3 linked regions of the Callithrix jacchus genome follow. The protein of the gene in region 3 interacts with the protein of the main gene of each other region in a pairwise test. Links are inferred from orthologs where the notes say so. Each region holds a gene or a part of one and is shown on either strand. Other genes may lie near its edges.

Region 1 (10,598 bases), on a different chromosome or scaffold from region 3:
TTCCCTCAGGTACAAAACATCTTATCCTGTTGCTTTGTACTTTCTGAGTTGAAATCAGCCTTTCCAAGGAACATTTTCTTATTTCTTTTCTCCTTTTGTTGTGTTCCCAAATGAAGTAATGGGAGCTTACTCATTATCTCACTTCACTTTTCTTACTTTATGTATGCCTGCAGATGGGAGATAGAACAGGATTAGATTGCAGAATCAGAAAAGGGCCACCATCATTTAGTCAGTAATTCATGCGTGCATTCATTCATTTAGTAAGCAGCTGCTATGTGTCAGATGCTGTTTCCAACAAGGAGCTTTTGGTGCCACAGAGGCTAGATATAAGCAGAGCAGCAAAATGTAGTATGATAAGAGTGAAAGTAGGAGTTTAGCACTGGGCGGCCTAAGAGCGTTGTATGGAGTCCCCTACTCAGCCTTGAGAATCAGAGAAGGCCCTAGAACAGGTAGCAGCTAAGAAAAATCTTGGAGAACAAATAGAAGCCCGGTGAAGGGGTGGAAAGTAAGGGGAGAATCCAAGCAGTGAGCATTGTCCGTGCAAGGGTCCAGAGAAGATGGTGAGGGAGGGGTCTTTCAGGGAACTGTAACCAGTTTAGTATTGCAGGAGTGCAGAGTGCAGGGGTGAATCTTGTGCATAGTACAGTGTTGATAAACAGGCCATACACGATGGCTAACACCTGTAATCCCAGCACTTTGGGAGGCAGATCACAAGGGCAGGAGTTCAAGGCCAGCCTGACCAGCATGGTGAAACCACGTCTCTACTAAAAATATAAAAATGAGCCAGGCATGGTGGCACATGCCTGTAATCCCAGCTACTCAGGAGGCTGAGACAGGAGAATTGCTTGAACCCAGGAGGTGGAGGTTGCAGTGAGCCGAGATTGTACCACTGCACTCCAGCCTGGGCAACAGAGCGAGACTCCCTCTCAAAAGAAAAAGAAAGAAAAAAGATAAACAAATCACCCCAACAAGTTAGAATATCCCAGGTAAGATATATACTCTCGCATCCACCACAGACCCCACCCCTTTCCATTGTTCCACTCTATTCTGATTTATTACCCACCTGACCTATCATTTTCATTTGGGACTTCCTACCTTTGAACCCAGACCAAAGATCAAGTTCAAACTATCTCGATTACCATGTCATGTGTGAAAGGAAAGAAGACCCACTTTTTGGTGGAACTGTGAAGACCAACCCAGTGAACAATCCTACCCACCAGGTCAGACCAGGAGAATTACTGACATGCAGTAAAAGAAGGATCTTTCCTATGCAACCAACCTAAGTATCCATGGACCAATGAACGGATAAAGAAAATGTGGTACATGTACACCATGGAATACTACTCAGCCATCAAAAATAATTAAATTATGTCTTTTACAGCAATTTGGATGGACCTGGAGGCCACTGTTAAGTGAAGTTAGGAACAGAAAAACCCCTTATCTCCTTATTTATAAGTGGGAGCTAAGCTATGGGTATCCCAAGACATACAACGTGGCATAATGGATTTTGGATACTCAGAAGGGGGAGGCGGGAGGGAACTAAGGAATAAAAAACTACATATTGCGTGCACTGTACACTACTTGGGTGATGAGTGCACCAAAATCTCAGACTTTACCACCACATAATTCATCCATGCAATCAGAAACCACTTGTATGCCAAAAACTATGGAAATAACAATTAAAAAACAAAACAAGGCCGGGCGCGGTGGCTCATGCCTATAATCCCAGCACTTTGGGAGGTTGAGGCGGGTGGATCACAAGGTCAAGAGATCGAAACCATCCTGTCCAACATGGTGAAATCCCATCTCTACTAAAAATACAAAAAATTAGCTGGGCACGGTGGCGCATGCCTGTAATCCCAGCTACTCAGGAGGCTGAGGCAGGGGAATTGCCTGAACCCAGGAGGTGGAGGTTGCAGTGAGCCGAGATCGCGCCAGTCTGGCACCTGGCGACGGAGTGAGACTCTGTCTCAAAAAAAAAAAAAAAAAAAAACTAAACATCCCTACAAAAAAGGATCTTTTTCCTCAGGGAGTGAAATGGAGTATAAAGACAAATATTTTTTGAGGTCTTATCATGTGCCAAGTACTACGCTAAGTTTTTTTTTTAATCAAGCCTTTCTGTAAAAGAAGATAGGAGTCACAGATGCGTGCATATAATTAAACGTATAATTTGTCAGGTGATTTTATACATCTTAAAATACTATATTTTATTTATTATAATATCACATTCATGGCATTCTAATAAATGTCACACTAGTGACGTTCTAATAAATAATGTTATTTTGCATAATGTTTAACATAAGCAGATAAGCATTAACACTTAATGAGGGCCAGTTGTGTGTTAGGTGCTGAAGCTTCTCTGGAGACATGGAATAGACAAGGCCCCTGCCTCGAGTTGTTCACTGCTGTGGACTGCATCCCATCACAGGTGATTATCTCTGTCTGGTCTTCTGCATTGTCAGATTTAATCTGAGTCATACCGGAAATCTTTTAAAAAGTCAGAGTTTGTAACCCTGGCAAACTTTAACAAATTTGCATATTTCAGGTTGATTTGGATCAAGCTAACCTTCTTCCTTCTTGAAATTAAAATCTCAGACACTAAGTAAATCAGTAACAAACACTTGTGCTGGTAATCCAGGGCTGGCATGATCTCCCTGAGACTTCTCACACTGACAGCATAGGGTTTTGAATACCTTGTTAACCCGACTTTTAAAAATAAGTTCTTACTCTTCACCATAGAAACTGAGCCGAACAGGTTTACTTTTCCATACTTGCATTTGGTGTGAGTCATGAGAAATGAGGATATTTATTTTCCACGGAAGGAAGAGAACCTGAGCTAACTTTGAATCTCCTCAGTGGCCTGGCCTACAGGCGCCTTAGGCTTACTGTGATTCAATCCCTTGTTGCGGATCCTTTACTCAGTTACCCAGAGAGCTACATCTAAAAAGAAAGCTTGTCTTCATCAATCTGTCAGACAGGAGCTGTCAGAGAGTCTGTATTTGTGGGACTGCCCTGTACTTCAGAGCATTTGCCCATGAGGAGCTGTATCACTGAGTAGGGAACTAGGCTTTGCTCCCACAACACAGCTATTCCCTGGATACGGCACCCTGGTAAAATCAGACTCTGGTAGCTTCCCTGAGCACATGATTGTGTCTTCATTTCCCAGCCGCTCACTTGCCCTGCTGGTTGCTCACATCTGGCAATTGTCACTGGCAAGAGAAGATTCCAGTTATAACATTTTGATCAGCTGAAGTTCTAGAGCGATCGAGATAGGGCAGCCACAGGGGCAAAAATGATGACAGATGTCTGCGGTAACCCCTGGACATTAGGGAGTACCCCACCATAGGAAAGTGACTCACAAGTTAATGATTACGGTGAAAACAGAAGTCACGACAAAAATGAGCACATGGGAGAAAGAGTGGGACTTTGGCGATGTTGAAGATGAGGTAGAGAGAGAATACTAAATCGCACGTTCAGAGAAAGAGGATCTTGCTCACTCTTTAAAAAGGAGTTTGGGGCTACTATAATAAGAGAAGCCCAAGGAATAAGATTTTGAAAAACTTGGAAGTACTTGATATAAAAAGAAGGAGATTTAGAATTACATATAGAAGCAAATGGAAAATCAAGGCTGTTTTGAGGGGTGCTATCAGAGCACCCCTCATTGGAGGATGTAGTTTACAGTTTTGTATCAGGCTCTGCAATGGCAGGAGATTCTGTAGAAGCTGTACTGAGAGCTGGGACTCATACCGTGGGTGGGGCACAGAGCAGCTAGAGAACTGTGATTTGGCTTTTGCTTGGGGCAGAGTATGGGAAGATATGCAAATTCCGGGGCCCAGACAGTGGCGTGGCTTTGCAGGCAGCACTTCCAGGTGGGCTCGGAAGCACCTGCCTTTGCAACATTGCTCAAAAGTCAGCAATGCTCCCAGGAGGGCTGTCATTTCTTTAGATCATCTGATAGCAGACTCCCGTGATGTTTACCAGCTTCAAGGAGATCAGACCATTGGGAAATTCTTTTTTCTTCTGTAGTAAAACTAGCCCCAGCCAGCCCAACTGGGAATTTACTGCCTGAGCTGTTTTCCAACGTAAGTTTTGCTGGCAAAACCAGACGTGAGTGTTCCCTCGCCTCTCAAGGGACCTGTTTATACTGACTTTATTTTTACTGCCAGCTTTCAAGTTGGAAGAGGGAAGTTACCTTTAAAGGTCAGCAGGTGAGCAGAAGGATTCCTGACCGGCCATTCCTGTGTGTGTGTGTGCGCGCCTGTGTGCCCTCTGCCTGTGTGTGCCTGTGTGTACGTGTGTGCCTGTGTGTACGTGTGTGCCTGTGTGTACGTGTGTGCCTGTGTGTACGTGTGTGCATGCTTTTCCAAATGCCAACCGTTGTGCTCTGCTGTGGTTGACAAGACCTGATCACTTCTTTGTGGGCATAATGATGGGTCCCAGGCTGGTTGTTCAGCCGTTTATTTGTTGATTGTAAAGAAAGTAAATCAATCTGGGGGATTTTCTGGATTGGAGAGCAAGCGGTATTTACTGTCAACAAGATAAGGACGAGGAGATATAAGATACTGAGTTCCAGGTGCATCTAGTGTCGGGACAGGAGCATAAAAGGTGGGAGAAGCCAACTACATGCAGGGTATTTCTAACTTGGATGGAACTTTTAAGTACTTGGGTGGGAAATACAATTTGGAAAATTGCTCTCTGGTCAAAGAACCAGTCAATATAGCTAAATAAGGTATAATTAGGTTGGACTTAAATTCAATTTTATCAACCCTTCTTTTTAAATTCTTTTTTTTTTTTAATTTCCCAAACGATGACAGATGGATTTTCACAATTTGGAAATAAAAACTTGAGTGAACGGTTTGGAGGGAAAGTCTCTGGTCCATTACACATTTCTGGAAAAATTCAGTACCAAGACTCACATTACTGGGAGTGCTATCTACTCATGAGTGTTGTACTCCATTGAGGAAAAAAAGAAAACCAGGAAGTTGCTGTACTACTCAGGATTGACCAAGAAGCCATGAAATCCCTTACCGTGGGAGACTTAGAAGATTGCCTGCTGAATAAGGTAAGGACAGACCCGGTCTCTCCCATGCACCCCTCCCCATTCACGCTGCTCCCAACCAAACCTTGATCCAGAAAGGATCTCAAGCTGTTTCTAAATACACATAAAATGCTCCTCAGAAGACAGACTGTCACCCATAACAATGTTTGGGGACTTCACATATTTCAGTCTTCTCTTTGAGGGTTCAGTTCCTAGAGACATGCTTGGTATAGAATATAGAACGGAGAGTTGGAATCTGGGGGATGGGGGGAGCTCCAGCTCTGCCACTGCCACTCGTGTGGTCACGAGTCACTTCATCTGCCTGAGCCTTGACCTTCTTCTTTGTAAAATGGGAATAATAATAGGAACTTCACGGGGTCTTGGAAAAAGAGCAAATGAAATGAAAACAAAGCTTTTTAAAAACTGTGAAACTACTAGGTTTTAAAATATTACCATATTTTTAGTACATATTAGTTAAGAATTTAATTTCTTCTAGATGGTCATAGGCTGTCAAAAAATGTTAGAACTTGAAGGTGTCTTAAATATTATCCGGTTTAAGCCTTTTCCTTTACGGATGAAGCTATAAGGCAGGATGTTAATGTTAAAACCAAAATAGTTAAATTGACTAGGAAGTAGGAGCTAGTCTGCAGTTTTCATGCCTTTACAAGTACACAAAGCAAAGATCCTTATCATAGTGATAAGAAAGTGTATTTCTTAGGCAGAATCATTAAGAGAGATAAATAAGGAAAACCTGGGATGGTAAAACTATAATAAACAAAGTGATATCCCATTATTCCTCCCTTTGAGGACTCTAAATGGTAGAGACACCAGCTGGTATTTTTTTCCATGGGTCCTGTATTTTTTGTAAGAAAAAATTCCAAAATCTTTAGCATAGTGTTCGAGTAACTTCGAGTGCTCTTTCTACCCTCTGCTCCCCCTGCATTTCCAATAGCAGAAATCCTAAACAGTGCTCACCGCGTTGAATCCAGCTCCTGCCCCTTGATATATTGCACGGCGGACCGTAAGGGATGCAGTAGAGATTTCAACAGATTGCTAGAGGAGAAGAGATGCATTAGGTCTGATGGGAAAGGTGTCTGACAGAAAGAAGAGTGGAGGCAAAGCCTTGGACGAAGTGTAGGGTTTTCATAAGTGGAGAAGTATAGGAAAGGTCTTCAGGACTAAGGGAGCCCCATTCAAACAGTCAAGGTGTGTTTCATTCCCGGTCACCTTTCTCTTTTAGAGGCAGGACAGTGCAGTGGTTACAAATACAGGTTTTGGAAGGATGCTACCTGTGTTCTGTAACTGACTAACTCTGGGAACCTGGGAGAATTACTTAAACGTTCTGAACTTTGGTTTCCTCATCTATAAAATGGGGATAATCATAGCATCCACCTTAAAGAATTATGGGTAGGCACGAATGAGCCTGTGTATAAAAGGCCCTATTCACAGGAAAGACTCAATAATCTCAGCTCTATACAGTGCTGCTGCTGTTGTAGCTTCTGCTACGTTTGGGGGTTGCAAATATTCCGTGTGGCCCAAGCACTTGATTCATGGAAGAATTAGTCTAAAAAGGAAGGGATATGACGGTGGAAAGCCTATTTTCTCATGTGTATCTATCACTGGATTTAACTTTCCATCTCTCTAAATTATTAGCCTCTGAAAGGAGATGATACCTGTTTTGTTTGGTTGAAATTCTTTTAGCTGATGATTGGATTCCACGCAATTCCAGAATGAAAGGTCTGACTTCTTGTTTTCTGGAAGGAAGTTCTCAGTCTTTTCTTCCCAGTAACACTCGTCGGGAATGATATACACATCGGCTGCCTGCTCATGGGTATGACCTGTGTGCCATTCCTGGCATGCAGCTTAGCACCGCCACTCTGTCTCTCTCGCAAGGAAGTGTATCGGAATGTGAGTGAGTCAGAGTGGTATTATTATAAGGAATCACCTTGAGTTCCCAGAGTTTATATCTGAAACAGTAAATTATTCGCAAACGAGCTATTAACAGCAGCCGTGTTCATGAACCTGAGCTAGTAATACAAGTGACTTGTGGGGCAACAATGAGCCGGATGCTGTGGTTAAGGAGGAGGCAGGGAAAGGGGCCCGGGGTGGGACATGGTCCTGCAAGAGCGGGGGACATGCCTGGAAAGAGTGAGGCCCAGACAAAATCTGTTTCCGTGTTTTGCCATGAACTAGGTTTGGCGACAAGGCTGCCTCAAGGCTGCCAAGCCCCACTGCCTGCTTTTCCACACCCTAAAATGAACTTCTCGCTGTATCTGCCTAGGGTGTGGCCAGGATAAGTGGAGAGAAACAGTCTGGGGAGTCTGTGTTGTCACACCATGAGGGTGACAAGAGGTGTCTGGGACTAAGCCTGGAAACCCCCAGCACCAGTCACTTCTGGGCCACCAAATAGCGCAGTGATGCTGTGTGGGGAAGAACTTACTGCAGGAAGTGTGGCCAGAGACGTGGCGAGGGGCGGCGCTGCCCATCACCTAGTGAGAAAGAGGCTTCCACTCAGGTCCCACAGCAGGGGCTTCGCTTTCTGGCCCCTGCATGACCCTTTGTGCTTGTGAGAAGCCAGAACAGTTGCTGATGCCCAAATACACGGAGACTTAGGACTCCTCGTTTCATGAGTCTTGACTTTAAATTGAAGGCATTTTTAGGTTGAGGAAGAGGATGAGGGGTAGGCGGTACTTCTGGTACATCAGTACTTGAGGGTGTGGCCAAGTGTGATGGAAAGAAGAGTTGGAGAGCCCGTCTAGTTCTACCTCTACTGCTGGTGTGATGTTAGGAAAGCCGCCTGCCACGCTGGTCCTCCGTGAAGTCACACCAGACAAGGCAGTTTCTGAGGTCTCGTCCATTTCTAAGATCCTGAGTCTAAATTGCAACGGAAGTGATGGAGGAAGAAAATGAAAACTGGAATTTGTGACTCTAGGTCTCAGAAAGCATTCTCTTATTCTCACTTTCACCTTTGGCAATCAAAACAGGTCGTAAGGGTGACCTAATAACCTGTGTAGCAAGTGAGAGATTATACTTGTTTTCCAGGAGTGTGTGATCCTGTCCTGCCTGGTAAGAATTTCACCATCAAATGAGGGTACAGTTTGGCTGGGCGTGGTGGCTCATGCCTGCAATCCCAGCACTTTGGGAAGTCGAGGCAGGCGGATCACTTGAGGTCAGGAGTTCGAGACCAGCCTGGCCGACATAATAAAACGCTGTCTCTACTTAAAATACAAAAAATTAGCCAGGCATGATAGAGGGCACATATAATCCCAGTTATTGGGAGGCTGAGGCAGGAGAATCACTTTAACTTGGGGGGCAGAGGTTGCTGTGTGCCAAGATGTGCCACTGTACTCCAGCTTGGGCAACAAGAGTGAAATTCTGTGCCCTCTTCCCCTTCTTTCCTCCTGCCACACCAAGATGAATTCCTCACTCAGGTTTCTGGATGTGCATGACTCCTTTCGGGTGGGAAATCCTTACAAAATGGTTTTGCTCTCTCTTCTCTCACCACTGACTCTTTTCTCTCAGCATTTAAAAATGTTTAAGCCTGTGTATCATTTTGCAAACCAAAACAAACAAGGAAAAGCCGTTCACATCCCTGCTGTTTTGGTTTTCCCCCCAAGTAAAAGTTCTTGGAGGAGTTGCTCACCTCTGCCTTCACGTGTGTCTTCCACTCAGCCTTAATCCACCGCTTGATGCCCACTTCTCCCCCACCATCAGTGCTGGTGCCCAGCATTCCCCCAGCACAGCAGTCATATTCGAGCTGTCAGACTCCATGGACATGTGGGGCCTTGACTCACTCGGCCACTTACTGTTGACTTTGTTCTTGAAACTCTTCCTCTACTTTTGAGACCTCTCACTGTTTATTCTCCCACTTCACCACCTCCTCTAAGGTGATTATATTCTAAAAATATCACAGGAACAATTGCACAGGCCTGAGAAACACAGAGTCTCTCTTTGTGCTGCTCATGCCTGTGCAATTGTTTTCCCTTGTGGAGCAACCTTCTTGCTCCTTTCTTCCTGGCGGACTCCTACTAAGCTTTCAAGATACAATCCCAACACACTGTGCCTCCAGGGAGGCCTCCCAACCTCCACACTGGATGAAGTGTCTGTGTATCCATAGCATCTGTGCAAACCTCTACCTTGCACTGGAGTGCAGTGATGTTAATTTCCAGTTTATTTGTCCTGCTTTGTCAAGTTATCTAGAAACCTTGTGGCAACATGTGTACACAGAGCCCAGCATAAAATAGATATTCCGCTAAAATTACTCAAATAAGATTGAATCACGACACAAAGCGGAAGTCCTGCGCTGGAGAGGCGACTTCATTCTGGGCTTCCAAAAGCTTTATTTGTGATGTGTTATTTTTTCCATAATAGCAGCCCCACACCTGTATTCTGTACCTATATTTGTCTTCCTCACTATTGTCAATGCATGGCTGCGTCTATTTTGTGCCTTGCTGTGTTCCAGCATTGAACGGTGCCCACCACAGAGCACGCGTTCAACAGATACTTACTGGTGAACTGACGCTACATGTGCTACACAACATGTGTACAAATAGGTGCACAGTCACCTTCTTATTCTATGTACATGTGAAGTTGGCTTCCTGGTTGATGGGAAGTATGAGTGAGATCTCAGGTGGCCCAGTTGATGACTTAATCTAGGAAAACAGGAATCTCTGACTTGGGCTTTTTTTCTGGCTGTGGTGATCAGTTTATGGGTGTCTCAGAATGACTCTAGAATATGTAGAAACAGCCATTATACCATAGTTCAGAGATTCATGGATGGGCATCAGATATTGCTTAAAACTGGTTACTGGCTGAAGGAGCCTCTGAAGGAGAGTCTTGTCATGACCGCTGGCAGGTGCCTCCCGAGCAAATGACAAAGAGCCCCCTCCATTTCAGAAGAAACTTGCTGACCCTTCTGTCTCTCATTTGGATTTTCCTGTGTCTCTCCTGGAGTTTACTAAAAGTTCCTTTGTGTTTCCCACAAACATCTATTTCCCTAAACCTAAAGTATCTGATTAGTGTTCAGTTTTCTAAGAGAATTTCCCAGTTCTTGGTAACTCACTGTGGTGACCCTCTGTCAGCAGAAACATAAATGCATACCTTTTCTTAAGGGTCTAGAAGCAAAACACAGGGGTGAGTACAGAGACAAAGAGAACCATCATTTACTGACGACATCGGTAGGAAGCAAGCTGCTGAGTGCTGATGCATGTTAAGAAATATTCACACCCGGGGCAGCAGGCGTGACAGTACCATGGTAGAGTCTCGCCATGGGTTACAAAGCCCTGTGTGATGACCTGGCCCCTGCCTTCCTCTCCAAACTCACCTCCTGTCACTTTCCGTTTGCCGGATCTATCCACAGTGGCCTCGCTGCTAACCTTAGAGAATTGTCTACTTCAGAGAAGGAGCATGGAATCTGCTCTCCCAAGCTGTCCTCATCCTCGCTCAAATGCCACCTCCTTAGAGAAGTCTTCTTTGTCCATTGTCCACCCTAACTAAAATAGCTGCCACTTTATTCTCTAGTCCCTTATCATATTTTATTTTTCTTCATGGGACTTATCAT
Region 2 (10,598 bases), on a different chromosome or scaffold from region 3:
TGTGGGCCACTGGAACAGCTAAGGGTTTTCTTATTTAGTTCTTACCTTATAACCATCTTATCACCAAGTTGTAAATGTAAATTCTGTGCCTAAGTGTCCCTAACCACACAGCCTTAAAGGTGATCTGGCTTATTCTATGCAACTCATAAGGCTGAAATAACAGATATAGCACATTTCTACCCTGTAATCAGACACTATAGCTTTTCAAAAAGTATCTACAGCTGGGTGTGGTGGTTCACACCTGTAATCCCAGCATTTGGGAGGCTGAGGCAGGTGGATCACCTGAGGTCAGGAGTTTGAGACCAGCCTGGCCAACATGGTGAAACTCTGTTTCTACTAAAAATACAAAAATGAGCTGGGAGTGGTGGTGGGCACCTGTAGTCCCAGCTACTCGGGAGGCTGAGGCAGAAGAATCGCTTGAACCTGGGAGGTGGAGATTACAGTGAGCTGAGTTAGTGCCACTGCACTCTAGCCTGGGCAATAAGAGTGAAACTCTGTCTCAAAAAAAAAGAAAAGAAAAGAAAAGAAAAAGAAAAATGTACTCTATGCCAAGCTACCAAAAACAAATAAAAACAAAGACCCTCAAGTTCCAAAAAAGCAGAAATTAGACAGGCCACAGCCTCTAGCTGCAGTGTGACAAAATTAGTGCAAACATTCAACAAAAACACTGGCGACTTGGAAGTTAAGACACTCATCCTATTTGCCATTAAAACTATATCTGGCTGGGCACGGTGGCTCATGCCTGTAATCCCAGCACTTTGGGAGGCCGAGGAGGGCAGATCACGAGGTCAGGAGTTCGAAACCAGCCTGACCAACATGGTGAAATACCATTTCTACTAAAAATATAAAAATTAGCTGGGCATGGTGGCACGTGCCTGCAATCCTAGCTACGCAGGAGGCTGAGGCAGGAGAATTGCTTAAACCTGGGAGGCAGAGGTTGCAGTGAGCTGAGATTGCATCATTGCAACCCAACCTGGATGACAGAGAGAGACTCTGTCTCAAAAATAAGAAAGATATATATATATATATACATACACACACACACATTCATACACAGAAACTGAGAGAGCAAAAAAAGAGAAGAAAAATTGGCATGTTTCAAATATATTTATAATAAGGAAATAAATACTTTAATTAATGTGTGTGTATTTTTTTTTTGAAGACCACTTAGGCCAGGTGTAGTGGTCCAGGCCTATAGTCCCGGCACTATGAGAGGCCAAGGTGGGAGGATACCTTGGGCCCAGGAGTTTGAGACAAGCCTGAACAACACAGCAAGACCCAATCTCTGAAAAAAGTACAAAAATTAGCCAGGCATGGTGGCATGTGCCTGTGGTCCCAGCTGCTTGGGAGGCTGAGGTGGGCTGATCACCTGAGCCCAGCAGGTCAAGGCCGCAGAAAGCCACGATCATGCCCCTGCACTCCAGCCTAGGTGACACAGCAAGACCCTGTCTCAAAAGTAAATAAATAAATACAATTTAAGACTGCTTCAAGATGACTACATAAACATTTATTTAGTTTTTTCTTCTCACTGTGTTGCCCAGGCCAGAGTACAGTGGCGCCATCTCAACCACTGTAACCTCCACTTCCCAGGCTCAAGGAATCCTCCTACCTCAGCCTCCCAAGTAGCTGGGACCACAGGCATATGCTACTATATCTGGCTAATTTTTTGTATTTTTGGTAGTGATGGGGTTTCACCAGGTTGCCCAGGCTGGTCTTGAAGTCTTGGGCTGAAGCAATCCATCCCCTTCAGCCTCGCAAAGCGCTGGAATCACAGGCATGAGCCACACTGTGCCCAGCCTTCTTAAATAGTTATCACAAAAACACAGACTCCAAAATAGCACGAAAGAAAAAGAACACTGGTCACCAATTTCTAAAGAGTAAGATGTTCTGGGAAAAACAGATTCTTCATCCTTTACCACGATGAGGACTGTCTTTAAGTTTCTTTTTTTATATGCTAGTATGAAAATCAGTTTCCTGGATCCAGCTTGTCTTGTTCAGCACTGGGGACAGTAGCTCACAGCAGCTACTCAGTAAATATTTATAGAATGACTGCGTTAAATAAATATATACATATATGAAGAGATTGGCTACATATGATTGCATCTAAACATATGATATAGACATTTCAAATGAGTCATAAATATTTTTCACATAGAAAGATTTTTCATAACCTAAATAGTTAATAAAGCAAGTCACAAAATAGTTTACAAAGAAGACATATGTTTTCTCTTCTCTCTCTCATTCTCTCTCTCACACACATAACTTTTAAAACTCTGTTCATGAGCCAGGCGCGGTGGCTCACGCCTGTAATCCCAGCACTTTGGGAGGCTGAGGTGGGTGGATCACAAGGTCAAGAGATCGAGACCATCCTGGTCAACATGGTGAAACCCCGTCTCTACTAAAAATACAAAAATTAGCTGGGCATGGTGGCGCGTGCCTGTAATCCCAGCTACTAAGGAGGCTGAGGCAGGAGAATTGCCTGAACCCAGGAGGCGGAGGTTGCGGTGAGCCGAGATCACGCCATTGCACTCCAGCCTGGGTAACAAGAGCTCAAACTCCATCTCAAACAAAAAAAAAAACTCTGTTCATAAGTTGGACAAACAGGAGCTAGGGAAAACCACAGTGTTTGATACCTATGGCATGTCTCTCATTTTACGTCTAAGATGCCAGAAATGGGCCTGGAGCCGGGGCTTACTCCCAACACTTTTTTTTTTTTTGAGACAGAGTCTTGCTCTGTTGCCAGGCTGGAGTGCAGTGGCCCAGTCTTGGCTCATTGCAACCTCCGCCTCCCAGGTTCAAGTGATTCCCCTGGCTCAGCCTCCTGAGTAACTGCAACTACAGGTGCACGCCACCACGCTCAGCTAATTTTCATATTTTTAGTAGAGACAGGGTTTCACCGTATTGGCCAGGATTGTCTCAATCTCTTGACCTCATGATCTGGCCTCCCCAGCCTCCCAAAGTGCTGGAATTACAGGTGTGAGCCACTGCGCCCAGCCTATCTCAGCACTTTGGGAGGCTGAGGTGGGTGATTCACCTGAAGTCAAGAGTTAGAGACCAGCCTAGCCGATATGGCAAAACCCCGCGTCTAAAAATACAAAAATTAGTTGGGTGTGGTGGTGGATGCCTGTAATCCCAGCTACTCAAGAGGCTGAGGCAGCAGAAGGGCAGAGGTTGCGGTGAGCCAAGATCACGCCACTGCACTCCAACCTGGCTGACAAGAGTGAAACTCCATCTCAAAAAAAAAAAAAAAAGAAAGAAAGAGGTAAAAGAAAACATTTTTTCTACTGTCAATTAATTAATTAATTTATTTTATTTTATTTTTGTGAGACGGAGTCTTGCCCTGTCATGCAGGCTGGAGTGCAGTGTCAGAATCTCGGCTTCACCTCCCAGGCTCAAGCAGGGATTACAGGTGTCTGGCACCACATCTGGCTAATTTTTATATTTTTTTTGTAGAGATGGGGTTTCACCATGTTGGCCAGGCTGGTCTCAAACTCCCGGCCTCAAGTGGTCTTCCCACCTCAGCCTCCCAAAGTGCTGGGATTACAGGAGTGAGAGACCGTGCCTTGCTTGCCAGTGAATTTACCTTTGCTTCAGAGTTGCACAGGTCACCTTCAGCCCCTCTGTCCCTGGCCTCTCACGGATGGTGACCACACACATCCTATCGTCTGGCCTGTATCTTCAGCCCATCCCTGGCATGTTCTGTCATGGGCCTTGCCCAACAAGCCACCTGCTTAATAATCAAATCACAATGAAAACAGCTCTGTTCCAGTTGGTGTGGATGTCCCAAGTGTCTGCTAAGCACTCACATTTCTCAAAGTTAATGTTATCAAGTTTTAAATTGATAACATGAATTTAAAACATGGCTGCCATGAAGCAATGAAGTTCCTGGCAAAACTGACACCGTACCTCAGAACTTAAAAGTGAATCTTAGGCCGGGCGGGGTGGCTCATGCCTGTAATCCCAGCACTTTGGAAGGCCCAGGCAGGTACATCACCAGGTTAGGAATTCAAGATCAGCCTGGCCAACATGGTGAAACCACATCTCTACTAAAACTACAAAAATTAGCCAGGTAGGTTGGCAGGCACCTGTAATCCCAGCTACTCAGGAGGCTGAGGCAGGAGAATCACTTGAATCCGGGTGGCAGAGGTTACAGTGAGCCAAGATTGTGCCACTGCAGTCCAGCCTGGGCGACAGAGGGAGACTCCATCTCGGGAAAAAAAAAAAAAAAAAAAAAGGGAATCCATGCCCATGTATGCTACTTTCAGTCTGAAAACGTATCTAAGGTTGCATCCCGAAGTAATAATAATTAACCTCCACATTGCTGGTCTGCGGCACAACAGAAATAAACACAGCACACTTAAATACTTCCATCTGGAAACAGTAAATCAAGCTTTCTATTTACCTGTGGTGACAACTTCAGTTCTGAGCTTGTCTTGCCGCAAACTGTGTGTCCACAGAGCAGGCTGGGCCCGGAGCTTCAGCCTGGAGGAAGAAGATGGAGGAGGAAGTGATTACGCTATGTTCTCTGGATGCCCCCAACTCTCCACCACCTTGGAAAAGGAAAGTCACCCTGCCCCTGCCCCACAACCACACAGGTGTCTCACGGTCCTTCTCAGGAAAACCCGTGCCCTTGCCCTGACCCGGTTCTCCAGGGCACCCTTATCCCAAGCGGGCTGGGAGAGGAGAGGCCTCCCTGGTTTCCTGGGCGGGGGGGGGGGGGGGGGGAGTCGGTGGGGCAGCTGGGGCTGAGGTGGGCACGCAGTCCCGGAGGGTCGCATGAAGCCCGCCGGTTAGACAACTGTGGGTTTTTCTTGGAAAGAATCCTGGCACTGGGAGCACACTTCCTCTCGTTTAACTTTTAAAGCAGGCTTCAGAAACGCGCAGGCACGCAGGTGTGCCCTGGTAGTTGGGGTGGGAGACGGGGCAGAGCGGACCTTCCTGACTCCCACCGGCACCACCCAGCGCCCCTCCGGCTTCACTCGCACCACGCGGGCCGCGCAGCCCAGGACTCCGGAAAGACCTGGGAATGCCCGCGCCAGACCCGCAGCGGCCCCCACCGGGAGCGACATGGCGCGGCTTCCGCAGAGAAGCCACCCGGCCGAGAGCAGCCCGTTCGGGCTGCCGGGGGTCACCCCGCCGCGTTGGGGCACCAAGCGGGAAGCGTTCCTCTAAGGCGGTCACAGCCGGAGGAGCTAACACGCGCGTCTTGGTCCGGCGGCAGCCGCCGGGCGCACCCACCCAGGGTCGGTCAGTCCGGGCCCGGGTTTCCCTGCCTCAGGGATCCCTGGGGGTCTTGGGAAGCCACGGCGCGGAGGGATGGGCAAGCCCCGATGTCCCGCCCGAGAGCCTCCCTCCCAAGGGACAAGCCGAAGACTTAGAGTCGCTGCGGTCGCCAGACCCGACCTCCGCGCAGCGCCAAGCCCCATGGAGAGCCGTGGAGTCTACGGTTCCAGGCAGGGCCCCGGCGGTAGGAGGGAGGACGAGCAGGGCCCCGGGACCCCTTGCACGAGTCCTCGGCGTGTGTCCTCGCCCCTCGCCCTCACGTCTCCGGCCGCGCACCCTGACCCTGGATCCCCGGGCCCCCGAGACCTCGAGACCCCGGGCCCCGCGCATGCGCCGCCCAGCCCCTGCCCCTCCCCCGTCCGCCGCCGTCTGGGTCCCGGGACTGGGGAAGCCCTGCCGGCGGACCCCCGCGCGCGCCCTTCCGCCCGCGGGCACCTGGATCGCGGTCCGCCGCCTGCCAGTCCGTGGGACGAGCGCCGAAGGAGGCGGCGCCGGGCAGGGCGCTAGCGGCCGCCTCCGCCCCCGCCGCCCGCTGCCCCTGCCGCGGGGCCGCCGCGTCCACGGCCCATGCCCGGCGCCGCCTCCGCGCGTCCGTGCCAGCCGCGCCCCCGCCACACGCACCGCCCCTCGGCCCGCCCCGGTCCGCGCGGGCTCCTGTCCCCGGGCCCGACCCGGAAGCCCCGCCCGCCCCGCGCGCCCTCGGGGCGCCCGGGCTCCGGCCCCGGGACACACCCCCCGGACGGCGGCGCCCGATTGGCTGCTCGAGGGGGCGGGGCCCCGGGAACTCTCCGCTGCTCCCACCTAGTGCCTCGCGTCCGCTGCAACCAGGGGAAACTGAGGCCGAATAGGTGGAGGAGCCCTCCAAGGTCACCGCCGGGACGCCGCTGAGCGTGGGCGCCCCTGCAGCCCCGCGCACCCGATGGGGCTGAATTCGAGGAGGGGACGCGCGGCCGCAGGGAGGGTGGAGGTTCCCGCTGAGCGCCCGTGCCACGCTGGCGAGTCCCTCCTGCCTCCTCCGGGAGCTGGGCTCCGCCGTTCGGTGCAATGAGCGGGTCTAGATCCGGGACCGGGTGCCCTTGAGCCTCCAAAGTGCGTGGGGTGGTAGGCAGGCCGGGAAGGACCTTGTCCCTGGAACCCTAGGATGCAAAATAAGGGGAAGGGGAAGGCGAGCTGGGAGGACGAGGAAACAGGTGGCAGGAGGTGCCAGGGTGGTGTGGCGGGCGGGGGAACGAGGAGGGTGAAGGGCAACGCGGACGGGCTCGGGGAGGAGCCGCTAGCTCCGATCCCACATTCCCACCCATCTCCAGTGGCCCGAGAGCCATGCGCGCCCCCTACTCCGTGCCCGGGGGGGTGATGAGGGGCTGACTTTGTGCCCACGCAAGGCGCTGGGACTCTGCCAGCGCAGGGAGAGGTCGCGGCCCGGCGGCCAATGGCGAGGAGTAGGAGAGCGCCCTGCAAAGCCGCTTTGTTCGCGCTGTGACGCCCGAGCTCTCTGCGCGGAATGCACAAAGCCCCTGGGTGCCGGCACATCAGGGCGCCCCTCCTCGGGAACGAAATGTGTGCTATGCCAGCCCCACTGCCAGCTGCGCCTGCCACTGTGCTATTTGTGGTCCCAGGAGGACCCACTCCGGAAAGGAAACGCAAATCTCATTAGGCTGGGGAACTGCAGACCAGGCAGGAACTGGCCCTTGCACAGACTTCCCTTAAACTCACCCTTGTTGATTAGCCAGGCAACTATGGTGAACTTTGCCCCACCCTCCAGACCCTCCCACGTATCCTTCCCGCTGGCACATGGCAGGCTCAGCTTTTCTTGCACATGCTAGCCACCAATAGCACAGATTCATGTTGTGTTTCAGAGTTTACAGTGTGATCCATACAGTTAATATCCTGGATATCTCGTGGGATGTGCCAGCAGCCACATCAAAGCTTGTCACCCTGTTGTGCTTGGTGAGGGAAGCTGACCCTCGGCTGCCCATGCAGAGCTCAGGGGCTACATCCTCATGAGGACCTCTGGCCTCAAGGACATTATGTGGCATAACCACATCCCAGGCTCTCAAGAACCAGGGTCCACACAACTGTGTTGGCTTCTTTTCCCAGATGCAACATCCAGGTCAACCAGGTGTTGAAAGACCTGGTGTATCTTGTCATGAACAAGGACAAAGGCTGAGTGGGGCTCTGAAGAGTGGCCATGAACACTCAGCGGACACAGAAAAGACGACATTCCTGGGTTCTTGGGGCTCCCAAGGTTTTAGGAAGAAAAAACTTAGTTTTCATCCATGTGTCCCAGAAATAAGCATTTTCAATCAAATGCTCTCAGCCAGTCTCCCGCAGACGTCCTGGGGTAGAAGCGAGTTCAGGACTCTTGGGAGCATCCTGGCCAGAAACAGCCCCTATCTAATGCCTCCCGGGGCTGGTAGGTTTCTTTTGGGAAACCAGGCTCACATGAGAGAGGTGAAACAATTTTCTGTTGGCCACGAAGACCTTGTCACACACCCAGCATGGGAGCAACTGTCACAAAGGGCACACCCCACCCCCATCCCCAGCTCAGGAAGCCTCTCTTTACCTTCTTCAGTGCTGTTGAAATGAGGGCCACACGACAGAACAGAAACGCCACTGGTGCAGGGACTGAGTAGAAATCTATACTTGGAGGACAAATCAGTGCTCTTGAAAATGTCTCTGAGCATGCCCTGAGTTTCCTCTCTGGAGCCTAGTGACTACAGGGAGCACCTGTCTGGTGCACAGGGATCTCAGTTCATAGCTTCCATTTATGTGGTGACAATGCTGTCTCAGGTCCCTTTTGACATTTTCTGGTCTTGAAGACGTTCTGAGGGTAATTCTTATTGTGCCCACATTACGAGAAGGAACCTGAGGCACAGAGTGGCCCCATCTGCACTGGGTCCCCCAGGCCAGTGGCAGGGCACAGGACAGAAGGCAGGTCTGTAAAGCCCATGGCTGCCCTGCTAAGCCTCTCACTCCTGCAAGTGCTGACCTGCCAGTCAGCCAGAGAAGCCCAGCCTCTCCCACGGTCTCAGGAAAACGATTGGGAAGCTGGGAATTCAGAGGGGAAGGGGTTGCTGGAGAAGGCAACCTGGAGTGGTAGGGCTTGGCCACTCAGTAGCAGGCAGCACTTAGACCCTGAGTGCTAGGAGCAGGTGATGACAGTCATCTGTGTTTAGGGACCCAAGTGCTTTCCCTGATCCTGCCAGGGTGAAGCTTCCCCCATGGGCCTGGGGTCTAGGCTGCAGTCTGTTTGCGATCCAGGGCCTGCAAAGGTTGCTGCTGACTTGCCCTCTGCTGGTGTGCAAATCCCTCTGTCAAAGGGATGTGTGCTTCCAGGATGGCATCCACCAGGGCAGTGGCCTCTGAGCTCCTGGAAGCACGCCTGCAGGTCAGGTGGTGGAAGTCCACCAGGGCAGAGGCTGTGGGCCGAGAAAGGGAGGGCTCATTGTCAGCGAGCAGGGAGCTGCTTGGTGACCCGAGGCTGGACCTCGTTGGTGAGAGCCAACCTGGGTATGTCCTTGGTTGCCCTCCTGGTACTGACAGCAAACCCCTATGGGTCCAAGGTAATGAAGGAGTGTCACACTAGGGCACAGAACCCACAAGAGTCTCATAAGGTGGCTGTGCCTACGCCATCTTACAGATGAGGAATGAAGGGCCAGGAAAGGCAGCACGTGGCCAAGGTCCCCAGCAGGGAGTGAGAACTCTCCCGAGTCCCAGTCCATCAGCACCTGGTCTTGGGTACTCCTGGGATCCAGCTGCCTGGGGCAGAAGCTGTCTGCTGACTGACATGGCAGACTCCGGAAGTCTCAGGAGTCTAGGGTCAATGACAGGATTTCCCTGGTAGCTGGTCCTGGCCTGACAGCTCCAGGCGGGTGGCAGCAGCATGTGCAGAAGCCTGTGGCAGGAGAGAGGGGCCATGTTCAATGGGAAACAGTGTGGAGATGGCACAAGAAGGGCAGAGCTGGGTAGGGCCCTGGCCAGGCAGGTCTTACGGCCGGTGGGGAGTTAGGCTGTGGTCATAAGGGCTGCAGGACACCTGCAATGGAGGATTGTCAGCAGGAGCGTGACTCCATCAGCTTAGCACCGAGTGCTGCGTGCTGCATGCTACACGTTAACCAGTGGTCACCGCTGGAGTGGGGAGGGGCTTAAGCTGTGCATGTATTCTAACTTCGCAGGTTCTGGAAGCTTCTGCAGGCCCAGGAACTGCTGCTGCCATGACCCTCTACCCTTTGATAATTAAGCGGTCTCCAGCTTTGCAGCAGGCCCCATTCGACATGGCTCAGATGTCTCTCTGTCGATCTTGAGAAGGCCAGGGCAGCCCACCTGCAGCTGCACTGCCTCCCCTCTTCGCCCCTCCAAAGGGACAGGTGCCCCCTCATCACACAGGATCCAGCTCCAGGGCATGGACAGGAAACTGTGAGACCCCTGACTGTCGTTCTAGGTGCTGTGAGAGTCTCACTGCAAAGTGTGACATATGGATAGACAAATTTTCTTTTCCTTTTCTTTTCTTTCTTTCCTTCTTTCTTCTTTCTTTCTATCTCTCTCTCTCTCTCTTTTTTGTTTTTGAGATGGAGTCTTGCTCTGCACTTGCTGGAGTGCAATGGGGAAATCTTGGCTCATTGTGACCTCCACCTCCCGGGTTCAAGCGATTCTCCTGCCTCAGCCTCCTGACTAGCTAGGATTACAGGTGCCTACCACCACAACTGGCTAATTTTTTGTATTTTTCATAGAGATGGGGTTTCACTGTGTTGACCAGGCTGGTCTTGAACTCCTGACCTCAGGTGATCTGCCCACTTTGGCCTCCTAAAGTGCTGAGATTACAGGTGTGAGGCACCCGGCCAGATAGATTTGGTCCATAAAGGACGATGTGCTCTGCGTGGAGTTGGATTCTGCAGTGATCTGACCCCGTGGCCTGGTCGTGAGCGGCGCTGCTGCAGGCAGGGAAGGCTGGAGATGCAGACATGAGGCCTGGAAACGCATGCGGCAGGCAAGCTTAGTGCGCAGCACCTGGGTGCCGTCCCCCACTTCCCTCATGGAATGAGTGAGCAGTGCCTGGGGTCTGGAGTTCAATAGAACTGGATTCAAATCCTCCTGTACCTTTCCCTCACACTACAACCCCCAGTCAGCAATGCCTATCCCAGCCCCCTCATCCCTACAGCGGGGCAGGGAGGCCTGCCTCAGTGGGTCCTGGTGTGAGTTTGAGGAGGAAGTGCGGGGATGGTACAGGGCGGGGCCTGGTGAGTGGGTCGTATTTGGGACATGGTAACCACCAGCTTGAGGGTTCTGCCAATGCTTGCCTCCTCCAGGAAGCCTGC
Region 3 (10,069 bases):
TAGCTTTGGAAGCCAAATTCTGAAACAGAAACTTTCTATTTCCCATCATTCTCCCTCAACCTAATATTTTTATATTTATTTGGATCCAGAGGCCATATCCCCATTTTACAGCAGAGGGAGATAGGATTTAGTTGCAGCTACATCAGTTAGCAAGCGGTAGAGCCAAGACTGGAATCTCCAGTTGCTAGCTTCAAAATCTGTGCTCTTCATGTGCAAAATCATTTCTAAGCAAGAACAAGGATTCTAGACTGTCCTCATCCTTACTACAGAGTCATACCAGACTCGGGGCAAAGCCCAAAGGCTGTGGACACCCTGGGCAGGTTCATAATTTGGCAACCTTAAAAGCATATTCATTGACAATTTGCTCAACATTTATTTGGAGGAGAGGCTTAACTCTGAGGAGCATGGGTGAAAAAGAAGAACCTGTTGGTGGTAGCTCCTCAGCTTAGACATGCCATTCAGCAGTGCAAAAGTCAGCAGTTAAGAGGCCATTCTGCTTAGAAGGAGAATAGTGATTCTGAGCATGTCTCAACCCCAAGCAACCAAAGTTCTCTTTCCAACGTCACATAATGCTCTGCCTGGAAGGAGTTCTGATAAATACTTTTCTCCCTCACATTATCAGTGATGTTTTTAGAGCCCTTTATAGATTGGTGACCTAGGTATTGCCCAGCAGACCCTTCCCTAATCTTCCCCTGTGGCACCCCCACTCCCACACACATCTGCTCAATCCCACCCCTTCCTTAAGAGATCTTTCTCTGTCTCCCCAATAATGTCTTCTTTCTCCTCCCATTCCATTAGCTGCTGCCAGTCGCAATGACCCTGTGTTTGAAACCCTGCGCACTGGGGTGATCATGGCAAACAAGGAACGGAAGAAAGGACAGGCAGATAAGAAAAATGTGAGCACTGTACCTCCCCATTGAGGTCCCTCCCAGAGAATCCACAGAGCAGGTCATTTTTCCATTTGGAAACCTGACAGAAGCAATGGATCATCTTCCCCTAAAATTGCACATAACCCGGCCGGGCACAGTGGCTCATGCCTATAATCCCAGCACTTTGGGAGGCCAAGGCAGGCAGATCACAAGGTCAGGAGATTGAGATCATCCTGGCCAATGTGATGAAACCCTGTCTCTATTAAAAATACAAAAGTGTAGCCAAACATGGTGGTGTGTGCCTGTAATCCCAGCTACTCGGGAGGCTGAGGCAGGAGAATCACATGAACCTGGGAGGCGGAGGTTGCAGTGAGCTGAGATCATGTCACTGCACTCCAGCCTGGGTAACAGAGTGAGACTCTATCTCAAAACAAAAAGCCAGGTGCAGTGGCTCACGCCTGTAATCCCAGCACTTTGGGAAGCCGAGGCGGGCAGATTACCTGAGGTCAGGAGTTTGAAACCAGTCTGGCCAACATGGTGAAACCTTGTCTCTACTAAAAATACAAAAATTAGGCATGGTGTCACCCGCCTGTAATCCCCGCTACTTGGGAGGCTGAGGCAGGAGAATTGCTTGAGCCCAGGAGATGGAGGTTGCAGTGAGCCAAGATCATGCCACCACCCTAGCCTGGTCAACAGAGCAAGACTCTGTCTCAAAAAAAAAAAATAATAATAATAGCATATAACCCAACAGACACACTTTAGCATGCATTTTAGAGGGTTTCAGGACCTGCTGCAGCTCACTCCAGGCCTCTGGTTAAGAACTCCAGCCATAGATTATATTTTCTCAGCTCCCTTCTGAAATTGTCAGATTAGCCACCACAACCATCTGAGGGCTAGGCCCAAGGTCCTTGGTATTGCTGGGTAATGGAGGCAAGAGCTGTGCTTTTGGATGTAGGGAAGAGAACTTTTCATACCAAGTAACTGGAGAATTCTAGAGCCATGCAAGGGTACATGAAGATCATCATCTGGTTTGACCCATTCATTTTACAGATGATAAAACTGAGGCACAAATCTACTGGCCAAGAGAAGCCTCATTTCCTTATGCAATAGGGTTACTAGGTTGGTAATGCCATAGACTTGCGTTCAGTTCAGCAAGGAATTTGTTAGAATATTCTTCTATCTTTCTGGACAACCAGGGTGGACTGGTATGGATGACGGTTACAGCTAGATGGACTCCTAAAATTGAGTGGCATTACCCAGAGTCCAGGTTCTTTCAGGAGTATACAGCTAGAGGGAGATTTCTGATGCCTTATAACATGATTTAGATATAATCAAGATACAAATTGTATATTCATCCTGGGTGCGGTGGCTCACGCCTGTAATCCCAGCACTTTGGGAGGCCGAGGTGGGCGGATTATCTGAGGTTAATCATGAAACCCCATCTTGGCCGGGCGCAGTGGCTCACACCTGTGATCCCAGCACTTTGGGAGGCCAAGGCGGGCGCATCACGAGGTCAAGAGATTGAGACCATCCTGGCCATGGTGAAACCCCGTCTCTACTAAAAATACAAAAATTAGCTGGGCGTGGTGGCACGCGCCTGTGGTCCCAGCTACTCGGGAGGCTGAGGCGGAAGAATCACTTGAACCCAGGTGGAGGTTGCAGTGAACCGAGATTGCGCCACTGCACTCCAGCCTGGCGCAAGAGTAAGACTCTGTCTCAAAAAAAAAGAAAAGAAAAGAAACCCCATCTTACTAAAAATACAAAAAAACTTAGCTGGGCTTGGTGGCACTTGCCTGTAATCCCAGCTATTTGAAGGCTGAGGCAGGAGATTCACTTGAACCTGGGAGGCGGAGGTTGCAGTGAGCTGAGATCCAGCCTTGGAGACAAAGCGAGACCCTGTCTCCAAAAAAAAAAAAAAAAAAGGAAGAAAGAAAGAAGAGAAAAATGTACATATTTGTTCTTTATCAAAAAAACTGCAAAAAACAGAACTAGAAATCTAGGCTCAGAGTTGTTGATATGGAGGTTAGGCACAGGATAAGGAATTTCTATGGAGTGAATTATGACTTATAAGGCACTAGCAGTGTGATTTGGCTGCCTCCAGAAGGGCTAACATATTCTTGGGTTATATATATATATATATATATATATTTTTTTGTGACAGAGTCTCGCTCTCTCGCCCAGGCTGGAGTGCCGTGGCACAATGCAATTTTAGCATTCAATTTTAGAGGGTTTAGGGACCTGCTGCCGCTCCCCGTGTGCCTCTGGTTAAGAACTCCAGCCATAGATTGTTTTCTCAGCTCACTACAACCTCTGCCTCCTGGGTTCTCCTGCCTCAACCTCCTGAGTAGCTGGGATTACAGGTGCATGCTATCACACCCAGATAATTTTTTGTATTTTTAGTAGAGACGGGGTTTCACCATATTAGCCAGATGGTCTTGATCTCCTGACCTCGTGATCCACCCACCTCCGCCTCCCAAAGAGCTGGGATTACAGGTGTGAGCCACCACGCCCCGCCCCTGGGTTATATTCTAAGGGAATTATTATAAAAATTGTGCTATTATTTTTTTGAAGATGGAGTCTTGCTCTTGTTGCCCAGGCTGGAGTGCAATGGTATGGATCCAACTCACTGCAACCTCCCCCTCCTGGGTTCAAGCAAATCTCCTGCCTCAGCCTCCCGAGTACCTGGGATTACAGGCATGCACCGCCCGGCTAATTTTGTATTTTTAGTAGAAATGAGGTTTCTCCATGTTGGTCAGACTGTTCTTGAACTCCTAACCTCAGGTGATCCACCCCTGCCTTGGCCTCCCAAAGTGCTGGGGTTACAGGCGTGAGCCACCGCATCTGGCCATGCTGCTCATCTTTACTTACACACTGGAGTATTTTTAAAGGTTGACAGCATAGTCAAGGACCTGGAGTCTGGTAGTGAATTCCCTGTCATTTAGCTACATTCAAGCAGAATGTGGGTGACCCACCTGCCAGGATGTTTTAGAGGAAGGCAGGTGGCTAGACTAGCTATTTCCTCCAAGGCCTCTTCCAACCCTGAGATCCCATTATTCTATAGTTATCTGACCTGATTAGAGAGCGCTAGTGCATGGATTCCCAAGACAGTGTCTCCCTAACTCTGGTGCCCCCTCCAGCCTCTAGCAGCCATGATGGAGGAGGAGCCAGAGTCTGCCAGACCAGAGGAAGGCAAACCCCAGGATGGTGAGTGTCACCCACCTCCATCCAGAGATGGAGTAGGATCAGAGGCTCAGCTGTCGAACAGAGGGTGGAGGAGCAAAGGGCAGGCCAGCTTTGGATAGATGAGGCCCTTCCACAGAAGGGTAAAAGAGTAAGAACTGCCCTCCAGGAGACAGACAATTTGTTGGTGTTTCCTATCCCAGGAAACCCTGAAGGGGATAAGAAGGCTGAAAAGAAGACACCTGATGACAAAGTGAGAATCCTTCCTCCCTACAAGGACCCTGTCCTCTCCTCAACCCAGGTCTGACACCACCACTCATGGTCCAGCAGAAGCTCACTCTTTAACTCCTAGACTTCCCATCACCCTTGACCCACTCGCTCTATCACCTTGCACACCCACCAACAACCAAAAAACTCCTCTCAGTTCAGGGAACTAGAAGAGAGTTGGAGTGCAGAGTGTGTGGTGAATGCCCCTGCCTTGGAATCCTGCCCCTCAGTGTGGGGTAGAGGAGCCCAAGACTCATCATTCCCTTTCACCCCCAGCACAAGCATCCTGGCTTCCAGCAGTCTCATTACTTTGTGGCTCTCTATCGATTCAAAGCCCTGGAAAAGGACGATCTGGATTTCCCGTGAGAGGCCTTGGGGCAGGGGGCTGGTACTGTGGAGTGAAAGGGAAAGAGCTGGATTCCCCCAAGGAAAAGGGAGAGGGTGACTCAGGGCTTGGAGACTTGATCCAGGGTACAGGAGGGGACCTGCTATGTGAGTGAGGCCCTTCCCTTCCCCTCCCAGGCCGGGAGAGAAGATCACAGTCATTGATGACTCCAATGAAGAATGGTGGCGGGTGAGAGAAATGGCTAGGGCTAGGGTGGAGTGTGGGTTGAGTCCAGAACCCAAGATTGAGAGAGGACTCTCCCGACTATCTTCGCTAGGGGAAAATCGGGGAGAAGGTCGGATTTTTCCCTCCAAACTTCATCATTCGGGTTCGGGCTGGAGAACGTGTGCACCGCGTGACGAGATCCTTCGTGGGGAACCGAGAGATAGGGCAGATCACTCTTAAGAAGGACCAGGTAGGCTGTTGCCCCAGGTTAATGCCCCAGGCTAATCCAAGGCCTGAATGCCCCCTAGCCCACCACACTACTTGGAGAGCTTAACCATTAATGAGACTAGGGTAAGCCCCTGTAACCCCGGGCTCCCCTGCTGTCCTTTCCTACCGTTTCCTTTGATTCTTCTCCTACTTCTGATCCTTTAATCCTCTAGATAGTGGTACAGAAAGGAGACGAGGCTGGCGGCTATGTCAAGGTCTACACCGGCCGCAAGGTGGGGCTGTTTCCTACCGACTTTCTGGAGGAGATTTAGGCTTGCGGGCGCCCGCAGGCGGGAGACACCCACACCCATTCTGGGCGGGCCCAGTGGAATTTGGGGAGGGGGCGAAAGCAACAGGACTGCTGGGTAGATAGGAAGGCCTGCCTGAGCATGACAGGGCTTCTGGGAAGGGACTGGTTCTCGCCCCCTTCCCCAGCCTGGGGCCTCGGACACCTGCTGCCCAGAGCAGCCCGCACCTGAAACCTTTCGGGCCCCGCTTGCAAGAGCTGGAAGACAACGCATATCCACCAGGAGGAGCGAGGGACTTGGGGAGGAGGAGGGCAGGGGCGGGGGTGCGTGAACTGTCGAATGTTGCAAATTTATTAAAGTTTTGACAAAACGTAGAAAAGTTGTTCTTTAACTGGGGTTGAGAAGGCCTGCAGAGGGGTGGAGAATACCCCTCTGGATCATCCCTAACCCGAGATCCATCTGGGCTGAGGTTGACGGGAGGTGGGAAGACAGATGCAGCTGCCAGGCGAGGCCTCTGTTGTCAGTGAAGAAAGGGGAGCGCGGGACCCCCGCGCCCCAGAGGCTGGGAGCAGGATCTTGTAGTAGGGTAAGTCCCCCTTGTTCTTGGCGTTTTCGCCACGGGCAACCCCTTGCATTTCGGAATCTGGCTTGGAGCCCGAGCTAGGCCGCCAGGGGGCGATACAAGATCTCGGTTGGAGAGCGAGGGATGGGGAGGGGTGGAGGGTGGGTAAGGGGAGAGAACTGGAGACACCAAGCCCGAGACCCTGGGCCTGGGAGGGGGTGGGGTGCGTGCTGTCTCCATGGTAACACTTCCTCAAGTCCTCGGGGAACCGAGCTAGCGAGGCCAGGGGCCTAACCCTTCCCGTGCGGCCCCTGCCCTAACCCTTTCCGACAGGTACTGAGTGAGGACGCAGGGCAGACAGCTTCCTGGCTCTCACGAAGACACCCCTGCGGAGCGCCGTATGCAAATGTTATTATTTGCATATGCAAATATGCAAATATGCCGGCCCTGGTCAGGGCGGCAGGTGGCAAGGAGCAGGAAGGTGTGGGGAAGGGAGCAGAAGGAGAAGAGGAGTTTGGGGACCTGGGAGCGGACCCAGTGAGAGGCAGGCTGGGGTGATCACTGGAGTGGGACAGGCGGGGGGGGGGGGGGGGGAAGGAGGGCGGGGCGGGAGGTTCTTGAGCTCGATGGAGGGTGGGGGAGGGTCGGCTTGGCCAGCCAGGAACTCCTCTTCTCGTCTCCCCGTTGTCTGCCAGGACTGAGGTTGGCACCGCCTAGCAAGGTTGGCAGCGGGAGCCCGGGCACCATCTGCTGCTGGTGGGGGGAGGGCAGAGGCTCAGCTGGGCTGGAGAAGAGGAGGGCCTGGGACCGGTGCGCCCCCCCTTCTAGAAGGCTGAGGTGTGATGGGGGTAGGGAAGCACACTAGAAGACTCTGCAGAACCAGGTTCAGTTTTCTGCTCCCTTTGCCCTTGACGGTCCCGGATGCCTGAGGGGTGGAGGTGGTGTCATTAAAGAAGACCCCCCTTTAATCGCAATTGAGCTGGAACAGTAGATCACAGGCACACACACGCACACCAGCCACACACAAATCAAGCCTTCTGCACTCATCCTTCCTTGAAATCCACCTACCATGAATGTATGAGGGGAGGGTCCGAGAGGGTTCGGGTCGTCTCTATTCATCAAGGTCTGAGGTTCTCAAAACCAGAGCTCCCCCCACCCATGCTAAAGTAAAACCAATTTACTGGCTCATTGGGCGGCAATGCTGGTGTGCGGATGCCGAGAAGCAGGGAGAGCGGCTGTTCTCCCCCTACACTGGGGGGCGGCCCCCTCCCTAGCCTCACTGAGCCGGCAGCTGTCCCTAATTAGAGCGGCGGTTTAATTGGATTTATCAGCAGTTAATAGGAAATTAAGCAAAGGGCCCGAGAGAAGGGGGGCGGGAGGAGCGGGGAAACAAGCTGTGCTGAGCTCGAAGGAGGGATGCTGGGGTGCCAGGGGTGGGGACAAGTGGTCCATGGTCACACCCTCCCCTCTCAGTACTAATCCTGACTGTTAGCCTTGGCCCGTGGGTGGGCAGGAAAGCAGGTCCCCAGAAAGGGCTGTGGGAGTGACAGTGACCCTGTGTGAGCGCCCAACGCCCTCCATCCCCTTAAGCGGCGCCTGGGTGATGGATGATACTGCCGCACTCTGCAAAGGTCATAAGTCTGGGCCAAGGAGCAGACTGAATTGAAAATAGATCTGAGGAAGGCCAGTACTGGGGTGCAAGACACAACCCGCACCCCAACCTCCTTCACTGCCCACTCCACTCAAAACGCGCGCACACACACACACGCACACAGCGCTCCTTGAAGTCGGAATACGGGGGCAGCACGAGGGTAGGGTGGGGAGAAGGCAGGATACAGAGTGACCCTCTCTATAACCCCCACCAGCAGGCGTGTTGGGGATCCTAAGAATCTCCTGGTGCAGCTCCAACATTCGCTTTTTGCCCCCCCGCTTCCACAAACTGCCCGATTGGGGTCATTGGGGTTCATCGGGTCTGCTGCTCAGGGCCGGCCCAACATCAGCACCACCCGCCTTTAGGGGCCAGTCAAGGAAGCTTGCAGGCAGCTAAGCCTGGACGCATGGGCTTCCTAGTCACAGCCCCAGGCGCCTCCTGTCACCAAGACCTCATTATACTGCTAGGCTAACAAGGCCTGCTTCGGAGACCCTGAAGACCTCCCTGCCACATTTCACCCCGCAGAGCACAGATGGTAACTCTTGCATATGCTAAGGTGTGCCAGCCTGAGTGGGTGTGGGTGGTCTCTCCGTGCCGCTGGCAATTATGGGCACCTGTATCCCCAGAGTGTGGTCTGTGTGTGTCCACTTGTTTCTGGGTGTGTGTGGTGTGTCTACGTGAGCCCCAGGTGTGTCCAAATCTGTGCCGGGTGTGTGTCTGTTCCCCTGAGTCTATGTCTGTCAGGTTTGTCCACTTCCCGCTCCCCGGCTCCCATCTGGGCAATTTTGCCCGGTGCCTCCACGCGGGGGCGTTTCCGTGCATCTCCGCCTACAGGTTTCTATGTGTGAAAATCAGGAAGAGCCAGCGGGGAGTCTGTGTTGCTCTCGCGTCTCCGCCTGCAGGTATATGTGTCTCGGTGACAGTGCGTGGGCGTGTGCCTGGGTGTGAGCCGCGCGGCGGCGTGTATCCGAATGACAGTGTGACGCACGTGTGCGCGCGTGTGGGTGCACGCGCACGCTGGGATGAGTCTTCCGCCCCCCACTCCTTCCTTTCCCCATTCCTATTCCTCTCTTCTCTCCGGGTCGGCTCGGCTTCGCCGTCCGCATCATCTCCATCCATTATTGAAGAAACAGCCGCGTCCGCTCCAATCACATCAACACCCCCGCCCCCTCCCCGTTCCGCTCGCCCCTCAGCCCCTCTGGGTGCTGAGGAGAGGGAAAGCCAAGACGCGGTGGGGGCGCCGGGTGGGAATGGGCTTATGACCCTGTGCCTCAAGCCGGGCCAGGCGCCGGGATTCTGGGGTTCCCGGAGGAGAGCGCTTTGCATAAACAGATGGCGGGCTGTCTTTGTCTTGCTCGCTTGCTCACCGGCTCCGCTTCTGTCTGGCTGATGCAATCATGATCATCTCGGAGCCTCGGAACCCGGCGCCCTTAATAACGGCAGAGGGGGTCAGGGGCCCCAGGGCTCCCAAGCAGATGCTGGGCTCTGTGTCTTTTCTCCCGGGCGCCCCTCCACATCCCACAGCAGCAACGGGAAGGCCAACGCCACTCGGAGGTGACGGCAGGTGGAGGTGACCAGGAGGAGAACCCCGGGCAGTGCCCTGAGGTGTCCCCGGGCTGCCTCGTTGGACTGGTGCAGTCCCCAGAGGCAGCAACCCAGAGAATAGGAATATAGCTGGGGAATGGGGTAGGGGAGAGACAGAGACAGCGAGTCATTAGTAAAGAGAGACACAGTGAGATGGAGAGATGTGGAGGGAGGAAGCGAGACACAGAGAGACACAGAGAAACCGATGCAAAGGGACAAAGCCAGGTAGGGAAAGCAGCAAGAGGGAGAGCAGACACAGCCAGAATGCTAAGGAAGAGAGCGACGAACATACCCAGAGAGGGAGCAGGCAGACAGACCGCCCGAAGAGGCAGAAAGAAGGGCAGCCAGGGTCTAGGACAGGCCGGATCAGCGGGCAATCTCGAATCTCCAGCCCAGAAGCAGAGATGAAGCGCCCGCCTCCCCGGCCCCCAGGCATAAACCTGCCTGAACCCTGAGTGCCGACTGTGGCTGGCGAGGCAGGAGCTTCCGCGTCCCCTCTCAGCCCTCCGGTCCCATCTCACACCAGAAGAGTGGAGGCTGCGGGACCCACTGTCTTGGCGGCGGGAGTGGCGGAGTGACGGGCTGGGCGTGGACGGACGGACATTCGGGGCACCAACTTAGCGGCCCGAACGCCGGAGTGCAGGGTCCCCACTGCCCGACAGGGGGTGCCCAAGGCCTCTTCCCCGAGCTTGGGGGCCTCTCTTCCTCCAGGGGGCGCCCGTGCCCACGGCCCCAGCAACCCGTTCGATCCAGAGTCCCGCTGCCTTTTGACCCGCTGTGCAGCCAGCGAGCGGATTGGGATCCTGGTGCGGTTTAGCGCCCAGAGTCCTGTCCCAGAGGGATCCCTAATCTACGGCTAATGACTCCTGTAGTCCCCCACCCCGCTGGGCC

Evidence for each region. The genes of interacting proteins can lie anywhere in the genome.
Region 1: the proteins of STAC3 (region 3) and MAB21L3 interact in binary tests that used the Homo sapiens proteins (3 or more experiments, as listed by UniProt). The two-hybrid records come from large-scale screens. The link is inferred for Callithrix jacchus from reciprocal best matches to the Homo sapiens genes STAC3 and MAB21L3.
Region 2: the proteins of STAC3 (region 3) and PPARA interact in a two-hybrid assay, tested with the Homo sapiens proteins (2 studies listed by BioGRID). The two-hybrid records come from large-scale screens. The link is inferred for Callithrix jacchus from reciprocal best matches to the Homo sapiens genes STAC3 and PPARA.

The regions. Positions count from the first base shown.
Region 1 is NC_133508.1:154,114,914-154,125,511, forward strand, and holds the start of MAB21L3 (protein mab-21-like 3), read left to right. Parts: upstream 1-4,984; 5' UTR 4,985-5,014; coding exon 5,015-5,062; intron 5,063-10,598.
Region 2 is NC_133502.1:213,847,990-213,858,587, forward strand, and holds the start of PPARA (peroxisome proliferator-activated receptor alpha), read right to left. Parts: upstream 5,846-10,598; 5' UTR 5,719-5,845; intron 4,483-5,718; 5' UTR 4,403-4,482; intron 1-4,402. UniProt on the Homo sapiens protein: Ligand-activated transcription factor. Key regulator of lipid metabolism. Activated by the endogenous ligand 1-palmitoyl-2-oleoyl-sn-glycerol-3-phosphocholine (16:0/18:1-GPC). Activated by oleylethanolamide, a naturally occurring lipid that regulates satiety.
Region 3 is NC_133510.1:62,457,484-62,467,552, forward strand, and holds the end of STAC3 (SH3 and cysteine-rich domain-containing protein 3), read left to right. Parts: intron 1-798; coding exon 799-896; intron 897-4,006; coding exon 4,007-4,073; intron 4,074-4,252; coding exon 4,253-4,302; intron 4,303-4,592; coding exon 4,593-4,678; intron 4,679-4,838; coding exon 4,839-4,890; intron 4,891-4,978; coding exon 4,979-5,116; intron 5,117-5,306; coding exon 5,307-5,405; 3' UTR 5,406-5,760; downstream 5,761-10,069. UniProt on the Homo sapiens protein: Required for normal excitation-contraction coupling in skeletal muscle and for normal muscle contraction in response to membrane depolarization. Required for normal Ca(2+) release from the sarcplasmic reticulum, which ultimately leads to muscle contraction.